2 linked regions of the Arabidopsis thaliana genome follow. The protein of the gene in region 1 interacts with the protein of each later gene in a pairwise test. Each region holds a gene or a part of one and is shown on either strand. Other genes may lie near its edges.

Region 1 (7,348 bases):
TTTATTTCTAGTGTATTTATTACCTTATGACAAATCTGAATATTGTTACTTTTGTTTTCTTACAAAAACATTATAATATCATAAAAACAAGTTTTTTTTTTGTTGGCTATTATACTCAATATATTAATGGATATTTTCTAAAATATCACACAAGAGTATGACAACATTAATTACGAAATTATATATAGTGACTACATACGTTACATGAAAGCATAGTTGACTAGAATTTTTCAAAATATATATACTAATATGGCATTTTAATGTTTTGTATCTTTTTGACACGTTTATTTTAAAATTTTGGATATACTAGCAGAGAACCAAACGTTATAGGGTTATTCAAATGAAATTATAGTAGTTTGTCCTTATATAGCTATTTTTTATGAAAACATTATTTCGTTACTTAATGTTAGTTGGACTGTTACTTGAAAAGAATCAATAGCAATTTTGATGAAAATGTAAAGATTTAGATCTACTTTTAATCGATAATTCGGATGAAACTATTATTAAATTAATAAAATGTTTTCTTATTGGTTTAAGAATTTTCTAAATTAAGTTCTTAATTACAAATTGGGTTTCTGCTTATGGTATAACACGATGATAGTTTAGCTATATACCTAATTAATTGTACGATCCACTACCAAAACTTTGGTGAAAGACCATTATCATTTGATCATTTTTATATAAGAAAAAAAAATATATGCTGGGATTGAATTGAAGTTGTATATATGATTAGTCAAACACTGGAGTCTGGATAGTATTTACAACTCGTGAATTTGGACTTATGCATTCTTTCTTTTTCCGTTTTAAAGAAAACTTTTTTTCATAATAATTAATCAGTTTTTTTTTTTTAGTTGTAGATATTTATAACCAAAAGAAATTATATAAATTCAATCATGCATGCTTTGAGAATTTAAAAATATGGAATAATGAATATTTCTTTAAAAGAGTATGTGACAGGAAGACTTCACAGATGAAAACTGTTAGAAGGTGATATCGTAGCTACCATTCTATCCATAATACAATAGATAAAATTTTGTCATATTTGAAATTCGACTAAATATTCATTAGTTATCATGTACCATGAGATTTAAAGAACAAATAATTATGAAATTAATCTGATTAAATGTATTATATTACTATATTAAATTATATATATGGTGGGTTCTTCTAACAAAAAGTTTAAAGTTATATATATATATATATATATGTATACATATACCATTAATTATTACATTTGTTGGTTTGTTATCCCTGCATTTGTCCTGATGTAGCACATGCAAGCTAATGCTATGCTATCGTTTTTTTTTTGTTGATCCAATATTCTACCTAAATCACAAATGATTGAAACAAAAAGTAATATGTTTTGGAACTCAAAGTTGATGTTACTGGCGAGCATACTTAGCGAACATGACACTTTTACAACTTTTAATATATTAGAATACGTGATACTTGTTAATGTCCCAATTGGATCATATGTGGACCGTCGTGGAGGATTTCTACACATGTACAAGATAGATATTTAGTGATCTTGGCATGGCGCACACAACGATTGTATGAGGTGAGACTAAGAGATTACAGTAGAATACTAGAGTTCGATTCGATCAATCTAATAATGTCGATTATATTTACCTTAAGAAAAATAAAAATCAGTCAGGATATTTGGAATGATCAGCCGATGAAGTTGATCACTCATCAAATTTTTAAAAAGGGCCAAAAGAATTCTCTATGTCTTTTGTGCTTCGATAAAATAACATGGATATAATTGTTTTAGGAAAGTTTACATTAAAAGTGTTATATAGACAGAAGTTTGAGGATATAATATAGTTCTGAAATTGAATTAAACCTGTATGTTCCGGAAAAAAAAAGTCTTCCTTTAAAATGATTATGAAAAGAAGCATTTGAACCAGAATGTTGGAACTCAATTGGAATCTGAAATCCTTTTTCTCAACAAGGAGGAATTTTAAAAGAAACCAAAGTACATCTTTGGCCAAACTATATCTTGTTACTTTTTTCCCCACAAAATTTATAGCTTTTTGTTTTTACAAAAAGAAGTGATAAGAATATAGAAAAGTTGAACAAATCTTTTTTACAACGACTAAAACATACATGCAACTTCTTAGACGTATCAGAATAGGTGTTAAGAAACTATATAAAAACATATGTATATCATAAGTGTATAGATTTTGTAAAGTGTTTTTTTTTCTTGGGTAAAGGTTTTGTAAATTTTAGTTTTTTTGTACGTGAATGTTATATTTATTTTATGTGATAAATAACTAATAATACTTTGAAAAAGATAACTAGTAAAATATATATTAAAGTGGTGTCTGTTTGTAAACATGAAAACTTGGTATGTATACTAGATTTTCTTGGCGTTATGCATGTGAGATCCAACAAATGGTCTCAACTCCATCTTTAGAAAATAGTAAGAACTTGATATTGCGATTTTTTTTTTTTTTTTGAATAAAATTTAAAATTTATTCGAGAAAACATGTTTACATCGGATGCATCGTTTGTGCCTATAAACTTTTAGATACAAGAATCAATAGAATATGTAGAGAACTTTATTATCTTGAACCGAACCAACAAGACATGCAGCCATTGTAGCGATATTGCGATTTTGCTTGGGTAGCTTGCCATTTTTGGTGATAATATAACTAATATCCACATATTAGATAGTTTCTTATACATTAAACAAATTGGGTGACCTATCATTTTCAAAATGAATTCAATTTATTATTTTGTTAGTAAATGACAATTTAAAAGAGAAAAACTGAAAAAAGTGACAACTAATCAGAGAGGAAAATTGATGAATTTTGTAAGATACATACACATCTAATCTTTCCATAAATCATTCTAAACTACCTTATTAATAATTCTATAGATTTTTTCTTGTTACCACTTTTTTTAACAGTTTTGATTTCTGAGTACAATGCTAATTTATTCCTAACTGACACTCTGGAAATTTGGGTCCATATACACTTCTCATGGTTCACTTAAACATGACTATCTTTCATTCATAGACAGAAGAATTATGAATTGTTTTCTTGATGCTCTATCGTGTAGATCTTAACCGGTTTATTGATTTTTTTTTGTAAAGCCCACCAAGATAAAAGAGAAGGCCTAACTGAGGAGATAATTGGGCCACATATAGGCCCACTAAAGAAAAACCTAGAAGCTTAAATAAGTACCTATGAGAACTCTGCGCCATCCTCTTCTGCCTCCTCCTTCACTCTTCATCTTCAAAGACTGCGCCTTTTAGCTCAGGTTTGTTCTTCGATTTCTCCCGTAAGATCTTTTGTTCTTACGCCTCCTATTAGGTTTGTTTCGATCTCAAAGTAGCCATGGTCATAATAGTATTTGATTGGAAATTCGAAGTTTGAGTATTTTGATCCCCATGATTAGGAACTCTTAAGTGATGTCTTAGTGAATCAATTTTCGATGTTGTTCTTTGCTTCTAATTGTGATCTGTCTTTTAGCAAAATAAAGTTTCGTTTTTGCTGAATCGTTGGGGTTTTAGTAGTTGATCTGATCTTGTCTGCTTTTTATATCAGTGAAAAAGGTTCGAGCTTCGGAAACTATGGCAGCATTCCCTAACCTTAACTCTGATGCTGGATTGAAGAAGCTCGACGAGCATCTTCTCACTCGCAGTTACATTACTGGGTAAGTTTCAATTTCTTAAATTTGTCTTTTTTTTCAAGTGTTGTCTCAATTAAGTTGTTAACATCTCTAATAGATTAGATCCTTAATCTCTACCTTTTTGAACAAAAAGAGTAATAATTAGTTTCCTTTGTGTATGCTTATAGATACCAGGCTTCAAAGGATGATATCACCGTCTTTGCAGCTCTTGCAAAGCCCCCAACTTCACAGTATGTGAACGCTTCTCGTTGGTACAATCACATTGATGCCCTCTTGAGGATCTCGTAAGCTTGATTACCTTCTATTGTTTTCCATTTACTAATGGATTAAAGTTTTTAGCTGTCTGGAATCTGGATTAATCTAATATTGTTTCGTTATAATCATGTTTCTATATACAGTGGTGTCTCTGCTGAAGGAAGCGGTGTCATTGTTGAGGGATCAGCTCCTATCACTGAGGAGGCTGTTGCTACTCCCCCTGCAGCTGATTCTAAGGTATGCTTGATCGTCTCTATGTTTTCTCATAATGTTTTTGTAAAGTTGTGCATTGGGGAGATTTCATATGAATGTGTGTGTTTTGTAGGATGCTGCGGCTGATGAAGAAGATGATGATGATGTTGACCTTTTCGGAGAGGAGACCGAAGAGGAAAAGAAAGCTGCTGAAGAGAGAGCAGCTTCTGTCAAGGCATCTACAAAGAAGAAGGAATGTAAGTTTGGGTTTTGTTCTACCCTTGTAATTTATATGAATGATATGAAGATGTCTTGGATTTCTCATTGTTTTTATTATTCTTCATTAGCTGGAAAGTCCTCAGTTTTGATTGATATCAAACCGTGGGATGATGAGACTGACATGAAGAAGCTTGAGGAAGCTGTGAAGTCCATTCAGATGGAAGGTTTGTTTTGGGGAGCATCAAAGCTTGTCCCAGTTGGTTATGGTATCAAGAAGTTGCAGATTTTGTGCACCATTGTTGACGACCTTGTCTCTATTGACACCATGATCGAAGAGCAACTCACTGTTGAACCGATCAATGAATATGTCCAGAGCTGTGACATTGTTGCCTTCAACAAGATATGTAAGTTTCATGAACCTATTCGTAATTCTTTTTAAGCTGTGATCTTTTGTTAGATAATGTGGTGTGTAACTGTCTATGTTGGATTGAATCATAATGCAGGAGGATGGAGAAAGCTTCAAGGAATGTCTGTGTTCATGTGGTCTGGTTCTTCTTCTTCTTCTATATTCAGTTTCCCAAGTTTTTGTAGACTGTTGTTTTGACTCTGTTATGGCCTGCCATCTCTGATCCATTTTGATATTTAATGAAAAGTGACAATTCAGTATTACGTTTTCTTTGTGTATGACCCATTCTCTGCTTCTTCCTTCCCCTCTGTTCATCGCTTGTATCTCTAGATATGTGTTTCTTAGTGAATCCTTAGCAATTTTCCCTTGTAGCTCTGCCGAATAAAGTTCAGGTTTTGAGCTAAAACTAGTAAACTAGCAAGTGAGGACTGATAAGGGTTTGTGATTTAGAGCAACTCAAGCTGATAAAATTTATACTTATGTATCCATTTTTAGCGTTATATATTTGTTAAACTTGTTTCTCAATCGAGTTAAGCACAAAGGTAAAGTAAGGAGTTGGTTAATCTCTTAGCCTTAGGAAGATCTAGATGGAAGAAATCAACTTCATATACCACGATCGTTATTTCGGTTCTGTGGCTGCTTTGGCTGCAATGTTAGTGAGTAATTGAAACTGGTGTACAATAGAAACAAAAACTCTCGGAAGGAATTAAACTCTCACATATTTGAAACATCTTACAAGTAAAAAAGAGGTATAATTGTATAATCAAAACTTTAACTTAGAAACAAAATTCTTCTAAGACGGTTGTGAACTCTTTTGTCTTGCATTACGATTCAATATCAGAATCAGAATCAGAAGAAGAGGAGAGAAAATCACCTTCCTGAAGACTAGGAATAGGATCATCATCAGATTCCCCTAAGGACTCTATCTTCTTACCAATTGATGCTTCCTCCATCAGACTGTCTTTAACCGCTAAATCCTCTCCCTCTTGAGTCCCACTCACCACTTCTTCATACCCATCTTTGGGAGCCGTAACATCTTTGTCTGTAACCGGTCCTAGAGATTCCTCAGGAACCTTCTCAGGCACATCAGCTTGTTGACCATTCTCTGATGCAACTATATCTGTATGATCTTGGACACTCAAAGACACGACAGTAGCTAAATCATTCCCAACTTTCAATCTGTTGCTCTCTTGGAGAGGTAAAGTCGTGTCTAAGGTTCTCTGAATCGCATTGTTAGAAGGAACATCCGCCTTTGCCTGCCATCTATTGCCTAGATCATCACCATCATGAGCAATAACATTCAACTTATTAAGATTAGGTGTGTTGTGTTTTTCGCTGCCAAAAGAATTGCTCTCTGGAAATCGGTTGCTAAGTGTCGGGAGGCCATCGAGTGGAAGTGCCCTCGGATGTATAACAACTTCAAGGGACATGAGAGCGTGAGCACAGAATCCAGCAACTTTCATTCCTGCCTGAAGTTTACCTGTTCAAAGCCGATATATAAGCATCAACTACTCTAGATCTCTGCGGTTTAAAGCTTAGTTTTAATTCATGCCAACAATCTTAGTTACCTGTTCTGAAAAGCTCAAGTCCTTCAGCTAAAAATGCAGGGCGTACTCGTGATGGAGAAACGAGAGATGCCGAAAAGGCACGGAGTGCTGCAAGCTGAAACTCAACTAGATCCGTCGTAGACTTATTGGGTAAACAATGGTAGGTTTCAGCATTGGCCCATCTCCCTTCACAGGCATTTGTTGCAGTGGTCAGAAGAAGATTATCAACAGACTCTCTCCAGCTATCCGATCCCAATGCACCACCCTGAAACCCAAAAGAAAAGAAGATATTTGATAACCTATCATATTGTTATAACATAATCACAAAGAAGAACTATGGTGATTATAAGTAGGATTCAAGTAACTAATAACTTTCTACTAAGTTTTCAACAGTGTCGACAAAAAGCTGAATTTTGATAGTAAAGAGTTAAAAGAGCTTACAATGGTGAGAAGTGTTTCCAGTGCCTCAAGAGATGCTATTTTCAATGAAATCGGGCTTCTCAAGTGATTGTGAGGGATTCTCAATTCAAAAACAGAATTTTCTGCCTCGACTCCTGAATGCTTCCTTTTTTTACTGCAAGCCTGAAGAAGAGCTCCATTAGTAAGCGAGGGGTTTTTGCTAGATGCCACATCAAATGCTTCTAAACTTGTCTGGTCTAGATCCACAGAGGCATTAATGACAACTTCCTGTGCCAGTTGCATTGCCATTCCTGGTCAGAGAAGTATGTTAGCAGAAATGATCTTATATTTTCATCACATCAAAGGCAAGATCTTGTGAAATTACCTATACCCATGGATTTGAGTAAGGTTGTAGTGATTGAGTAGAGCTTTATCCTCAATTCTGGCAATGAACATTTCCTGAAGTAGCTACTAACAAGTCTCACCACAGATGCAGCATATGGTAAAAGTTGGCTACAAAATGAATCAATATGAGGATGTTGTTTAGTTCCTAAGACACGGGAAGGTGTGGTAACTAGTAACAATCCATTATTTGGAAAAACGAGAATTGCGAAACTATTTTCAGCAAGACATAAACTACCAAAGGAACAACTCCTCAATTGTCAGTGTCAATGAAATTAAGGTCAGGTTTCAG
Region 2 (6,992 bases), on another chromosome or scaffold:
GTAGACGGTGACATGAGGAATGAGAGGATTTCTTCTTTGGTGACGGGATTAGAACCAGCGGCGATGAGGCTGAGCAAAACGTTGATTGACATCGGTGAAAAGACAACATTGGAGCCATTGGCGACATCTGTTTCAATGACTTTCTTTGCTAGTCTTGCCACGACGTTGTTTTGGTTCTCAATTGATTTTCCTAACTCCATTTTTTTCCAAGAAGAGGTGTACGGGAAGATATAAGAATGGTTCTGAATATGCAGATGTGATGATTGATGAAATAGCTTGTTTCAAGTATACTAGTAGCTATTTTTTGTTTTAAATATATTTTCTGCACATGAATTATTCAATCGAAATGATTTAGAAGTAATAAAGTACCGCGTGTGGAAAAGTCGTATCATGGACTTCGTTGGAAGTACTTGGCATTAACTATAAACTAGGTCTTGAAGTTTGGTTAATTTATGCCTTATGGGTCAATTTACTTGGAACAACTCTCTTTTTCATCCTTTTACCCATAAGGCATATGCATAAACCAATTGTTCCAAATCGATTTTATAACTCTGGGAGTTGCCATTTGGAACAACTCTCTTTTTCATCATTTTATATCTCAATCTAGGAATCTATCATAGCTTGGCTATTCTCTAAAGTAAATTTCCTTTTTCTTTACTTTCTAGCACTTAAATAAAACTCCAATGAGCTATCTTTTTCAGTTTAAAATATATTTCTATGTTAATTAGCTCATTTGAACATAAATCTTTCTTGCTTTGGTGTCTCCTACATGTATATTTTGGAACCGTCTGTCAATTGGATTGGTGGATTCCGACTCTTATATCAAAGAGAAACAAAATAAAAAAACAGAGTAATAATCTTATTAGAGGGGGAAAACAATGTTTTTAAAACCAAATCATTGCTAGAGAACGTGATTTCCTAGCGAAAGTTTACACTTTACACCACAATATATACTAACGTGCATGTGAAAAGAAAAGAAAAGAAAGAGAAAAAGGTTGAGATGAATGTCTGAAGCAGCCAAATCTTATACTCCCTCTGTTCTATAAAGTTTGATGTTTTGAGTTTTATTTTTGTTTCATCAAGTTTGATGTTGTAGGTTAATATTATTATTATTTTTATTAGTAACCAATAGAGAGAAAAGAGAAGTAAAATTTATATTATTAGATTAATAGAAAAGTAATAAAAATAATATTAAAGTTACATTTTTTAATTTGTGTGAAAAACCCAAAACATTATTTTTTTAGGAACAGAGGGAGTAAACATGAACTGGAAAATAACAAGACATATACTTGATGTGTACATGTATCGATTTCTTCTTCTTCTTTTTTATCTTTTTTTTTTTTAGTTAAATGTATCGATTTCTTAGTCACCAAGAGGCAAGAATATAACAAAAGACTAGAAATTCTTTTGTTTGATTTTATTTATCATTGGGTACAAATTCTAAAAACATGAGATTATGGATACTCCATAAGTAATGTGTTCAATTCAAATAATCATTTTATTTATTTACAGTAACGGATGTATATCATGTATTATGCATAGACACCAGTAGGTTGAGACTAATAGTGACCGATAGTTTTATATATTTTCTTGCTTTCATATATTGTCATTTTCCTTCTTCTTTACATTACAATCACAACAATAATGCCAAAAGACACATGAACCAAAATGTCTTCGGTTTCCATGTTGTAAACATAATAAAGCATAATTAAAGACAACATCTAAACATATGTTTAGCTTATAGAAATCTGATCCCCGAGAGTTCTTTACGCTGAAGCGTCTATGTTACGGTCCCCAATCACCTTCAAGAATTTTTTCATATACGCTTTCCTATAAAATAGCCGTTTGAATATACATAAACACTTTTGTCGCCTCTTTGCTTAGATATATAACTACAGATCTAGTAAGCTTTGTCGTGACAATATGGGAGAACAAGACATCATTGTACCTTGCAGGAAGATGGTCATGTGGGCGATTATAAGCAGTCCACACTGGTCCACCCACGAAAAGACGCATTGCCTGTTCAATATATAAGAAAATTCCAATTTTCTAAGCAACCAAAAATATATTACTTGAACCTTCATATAGTATGAATTAATAACTAGAAGAAGCTAAGATTGAACCTTCATATAGTTGTCCGAGTCCACGGTGAAGCGATGATATATTCCAGCAGGGAAGACTATCAAACCTCCCTTCTTTACCCATACTCTAATCCAAATATCATTGAGATCCCTCACATCAAAGTATCCTTTGATTTGTTTTTAAGAAAAAATAAAATAAATGAGCACCATATCGAATTTATTTAAGTACTAAAGCAGCGAATAAAAGTACCTACCACTTCCTGCGAGGCAGTAACGGATCTCTTCATCAATATGTAAATGTTCTTCAAAAAACATCTTTACTTTTTCTTCATAGTTTGGAAGCTTCTCTGGACACACCTCACATAAGTCCTAAAACCAAACATCCAAATGTTTGCGAATCAAAAACGAATATTTAATAATCAACTAACAAACGAAGATTTATTTTTTGTTAAAAAAAAAGACCAAACAAAGGAAGATATTAAAAAAAGGCATCAAATAAATGTCACAAACCATGTAGGAGTAACCACGAGATTCGCGGATCCTTTTCAATTCCTCATCGGTTTCATAGTTATCAGCATCAAGTCTCCAGCAAAGTACTCCAAGCTCTGAACAAAAAAAAAAAAAAACATTATTAACCTACGTGAAAGAATAAAAGTATGTGCAACAATGAAGATACACACAGACCTGCAAGTTTGTCCAAAGATACAAATTCCTTAGGATCCTTGTGGTGAGGAAGTTTCTGATCCTCTTCCTTATTATCCAAGTACCAAGCTTGAATCACTTCTTCAGTTTGATCCTAGAAAACATCAATCTGATGCTAAGCAAAAACACTTCTAAAGTAAATGGGAATAGATCCTAAATCAAGAAGGAAGAGTTTATATTACCTTAGCGGCTTCACCCATGGTTATTCTTCTTTTGTGTTCAAAATGAAGAAAGAAAGAAACCATTTATATAGATAAAAAAGGAAACCGCTAGCATTTTTCTGTGTGCAAAAATGTAAAGTAAGAACACAAAACCACTCTTTCCATTTCTTAGGCACCTTTATCGAGAAGACAAGGACGTCACGAAGTGTCAAGGAGATGACGAAGAAGTGATGACGTCACGAAGTCTCACGACTTCTATTTACTCTATTTGCATTTGTTAAATAATAAGATGCTTTGTTCTTATCAATTATTGTTCTTAATAATAAGACTTCTATCCACTTTCTCAGGTCTTTGGTATTTGTTTCGATGTACTTAACTTTCTACGTGTAAGGAAGCTTCATGTTAGAAAAAAATAAAAATGGAAGCGTCATGTATTTGTTATTTGTTTCAGTGTACTTCAGAATTAGCTTTTTTTTCATAAATATTATCAAAATCTAAGACTATATAGGCTTCCAAAAAAATTACTTTGGAAGCTCATTGGAATCTTATGAATTTTTTTAATGGAAAATTGTGTTTCTATTTTAAAATTTTGATGTAAAAATAAATAAATAAACATGAAATTATTTCCGATAATCTTTTCTACACAAAAGAAAACCAAACTAGTTTTGTGATTTATATAATTTTTCATAGTAATATTTAAATTTTATTTTCAGTAAGACCATGCTAAGAAAAATATTAACGGCATGAATCATATATGTGTGATATTCGAAGTTATTAATTGAATTAAAATTAACTTTGAGAAACTTGAGTTTGATGATGTTATTACGGACAAATTACAGAGAAAGAGGAAGAATGATCCACTACATGAAGTTTACTAATTCATAGCAACCTGTCTGATTGATTGATATGTCTCGGCCAGAACGTAATCCAGCAATAGACTCAATTGTACATATTCATTGAGAGCTCCACAATCCAAATTTTTACAATCCCGATACAATGTCTTGTTTTTTTTTTTTGGTTTTAACAAACTCTTAAATTGATAACAAACTTTGTCACAAACCAGCTCCAGTTCACGTAGACTCTCGTTTACTTTTTGTAACCATTGCATATGTCATTTTGAATCGATTTCAACGACTATTTTCAAACATTAACGCGAAATAAATGGTTTAAATTTTTAAAAAATGTAAACAAATAATCCACCAGATAAACACCAAACCGAAACAGACATACATCATTTGTACTCACCCAAAGAAAACAATCAAAATAAGGTCTTCAAAATACACTCTTTGTTTTTTTGTTTTTTCTTTCTCTTTTCTATTTGCGTTGATAGAAAACAAATCTCACATTTGAGATGCTAAATCTATCAAACCGCCACCAAAGCAATATCTTGGTCTAGATAAGGCTATTACTTTAGGTTAACTGCTACCACCATTTCTTCTCTTCTTCTCTCCATTTGCAACACCAGTTGTTGCTTTATCCGAATCCGACAATTTCTTTGTTTTCCCAAGAGAAGTAGAAGATGAAAGCCTCTTCTTTGGCAATACCATCTGTGGAGGTTTCTTCTTATCAGCAACAACCTCCTTCTTTGGCATACTTGTTGTTCCGACATTAACCTTAGATTTCACAGCTTCCGTGTTGGCCAAGTTTCCTGTTGTTCCCACACTAGACTTGGATTTCAAAGTTTTCGTGTTATCCAAGTTTCTTTTTGCTCCCACATTAGCCTTGGGTTTCACAGTTTGTGCATTACTCACGTTGCTTGTTGTTTCCACACTAACCTTGGATTTCACAGTTTGTGTATTATCCAACGAATTTCTGCGCGAGGATGAGCTACCAACGCTTTCATCATCTTTAGCGTTTTCAGATGATCCACCACCGATACTGTGCCTGCGATTAGTAACCTCGATCTTTCTACTCTTTGTATCATTGTTTACAGGCCATTGAATAGAACTTTGGCTAGCTGACTTTTGTGTTTTAGATCTGGCAGGAGAACTCTTGATCGAGTTTTCGCGTTTAAGAGAACTTTTAACGGAAACTTGATCGTCAATGGATTCAGCATCCCACGGACGAGAAGCCATCCACCTCTCAAGCCAACTCCAACCCCAATCTGTTGTGTTTGTGTCCATCAAAGTCTGATGTGGAAGTTTTGAAGAGTTTCTCCATGTTTGCTGTTTTATTTTCCAACATCAATATATAAACAACTATGACTAAGTTCACAATGATGTTGTCTTTAATTTATATTTACCTGATGACTGTAAGCATACGCCAATGCCCTTTCTCGTCTTACTGAAGCTTCTTTTCGATTCACCGACCTTGCCACGATCTGTTCCTTTGATTTATTGCTGGAATCAAAATTTCCCGCGGTAACCTACAACAAAATATGCTCCAGTTCAGAATTTTGGTTCACCCAGTGTGGTAAAATGTAGGGAGATTTTACCACATAACAATGGGATGACTCTTTTTAAATTTTGTCATATTTTTAGATGAACGGTTGCATATATTGTAAACATGGTTGAATAAATTTTACATTCATTCAACAAAAAATGTAACGAGATTTACCAAATTCTGATGGTTTTCTTTCTGGTGACCCTTCTGTTGGATCAGCCTGTGACGAGTTTTGTTCTCTGCAGATAACCGATTCCTCCTCTCTTGAATCTGTGTTTGTAAACGTGTAAGAGTTTGCATTGAGCTAAGCATCGCATTCATTTGTCTTTTGACGTATTTTCCTTGCAGCAAACTTTTGAGTCTAGCCATTCCTCGCAGCGCACGAAGAGTGCGTCTCGCCTATGAAATTTCAAAATATTAGACTAAGTCTTTCATAATAAGAGGAATTAGTGATTTTTTTTGTATTTTGTCCAAAAAAAAAAAAGTGATTTTTTTGTATACCGTGTAACATCTATACGCATTTTGGATCTTGATTGCGGCAGTTTCCTCCTTTGATTCCTCAATTTGAGGTGTTGATGGGGTCGTGAGACGTATAACCTCCGCGGCAGCATGTGCAGCTACCACAGCTGCTTCGGCTGCAACAGCCGATGCAAGAGCTAAAGCTTGTCTATTCTTTGATTCTTTAGACTCACCATAGATTCTTGTATTGATGGTATATGCCGGAGGAGGAGGAGGTGGAGACGGTGGTGGTAACAACGGCTGAGGAGCAAAATCCGGCAACGGGGGAGGCGGTGGATATGGACGATGAACAGAAGAAGGTGAAGGGTCAACCGGTGGAGTCTCCTCCAGAGGGAAATCAAAAGATTCTCTACTCTTTTGTTTCCCAAACGACCATTTCCTCTTCGGTTTCTCGGGTTTCTTGATAAACAAGGCAAAACCAAAAGACCAAAATCAAAACAATTAGCAATCTTGATTTCATAATCAGGTTACATAATCATAATCAATAATTAGAGAACAGATTCGAAACACCAACTTGATTCTTTTTGTCTTTCCCTGGAGATAAACAAGCCACGGAGACACATGTTAACCAGTTCTTACCCATTTTCTCCTGAAATTTTCAGACAAATCTTTCATTGAAACATTTTCTTACAAAACACTTTATGTGAAATCAATAAGAAGAGATGAGATTATGTGAAGAGACCTCGTCGTGATGGGCCCCACCGATTCGTGGGAACCCAATTGACTTTTGTAACGATTGTGTTTTGTAAGAACGATTCAACAGATTTAACGACAGATACGTTATAAATTATAACTTCTTTTTAGTTGTTTTTTTTTATTTTCATTCTCTGCTTAGTTGTTCTTTCTATATGTTATTTTTATCTTTTTTTTTTTTTTTAATATTTCTGGTGTTGTGGTTTTTAGAATTACAGCTTTTTTTATAACAATTATCTGTTAGACAAATTTAGAAAATTGAGTTTAAAGTTTTGATGATGCTAATGCTCTTTATCCATTCCACTCTGGGTTTGATTCTCACTCTCACCCTCCATTATTTTGTTTGGTTGAGAGTTTTCTTAATCAACAAGAAATAAGTTATAAAACCAAATCCCAAAACCAAAATGAAGAACACATAGTAACTTAAATAATTCATAGGTTGGTTGAAGAGAAG

The links. The genes of interacting proteins can lie anywhere in the genome.
Region 2: the proteins of eEF-1Bb1 (region 1) and ARD3 interact in a two-hybrid assay, tested with the Arabidopsis thaliana proteins (one large-scale study listed by BioGRID).

What each region holds. Positions count from the first base shown.
Region 1 is NC_003070.9:10,635,709-10,643,056, forward strand, and holds eEF-1Bb1 (translation elongation factor EF1B/ribosomal protein S6 family protein), read left to right. Parts: upstream 1-3,205; 5' UTR 3,206-3,264; intron 3,265-3,551; 5' UTR 3,552-3,577; coding exon 3,578-3,660; intron 3,661-3,803; coding exon 3,804-3,920; intron 3,921-4,034; coding exon 4,035-4,128; intron 4,129-4,216; coding exon 4,217-4,340; intron 4,341-4,430; coding exon 4,431-4,710; intron 4,711-4,805; coding exon of another isoform or gene 4,806-4,807; exon of another isoform or gene 4,808-4,808; coding exon 4,809-4,893; 3' UTR 4,894-5,074; downstream 5,075-7,348. Other genes in the region: AT1G30240 (proline-, glutamic acid/leucine-rich protein), read right to left, coding at 5,533-6,188, 6,277-6,520, 6,697-6,965, 7,040-7,167. UniProt on the Arabidopsis thaliana protein: EF-1-beta and EF-1-delta stimulate the exchange of GDP bound to EF-1-alpha to GTP.
Region 2 is NC_003071.7:11,230,292-11,237,283, forward strand, and holds ARD3 (acireductone dioxygenase 3), read right to left. Parts: upstream 3,071-6,992; 5' UTR 3,029-3,070; coding exon 2,966-3,028; intron 2,878-2,965; coding exon 2,766-2,877; intron 2,687-2,765; coding exon 2,592-2,686; intron 2,451-2,591; coding exon 2,336-2,450; intron 2,249-2,335; coding exon 2,124-2,248; intron 2,020-2,123; coding exon 1,831-2,019; coding exon of another isoform or gene 1,767-1,830; 3' UTR 1,479-1,766; downstream 1-1,478. Other genes in the region: AT2G26390 (Serine protease inhibitor (SERPIN) family protein), read right to left, coding at 1-200; Iqd4 (IQ-domain 4), read right to left, coding at 4,360-5,109, 5,187-5,309, 5,501-5,725, 5,828-6,244, 6,360-6,428. UniProt on the Arabidopsis thaliana protein: Catalyzes 2 different reactions between oxygen and the acireductone 1,2-dihydroxy-3-keto-5-methylthiopentene (DHK-MTPene) depending upon the metal bound in the active site.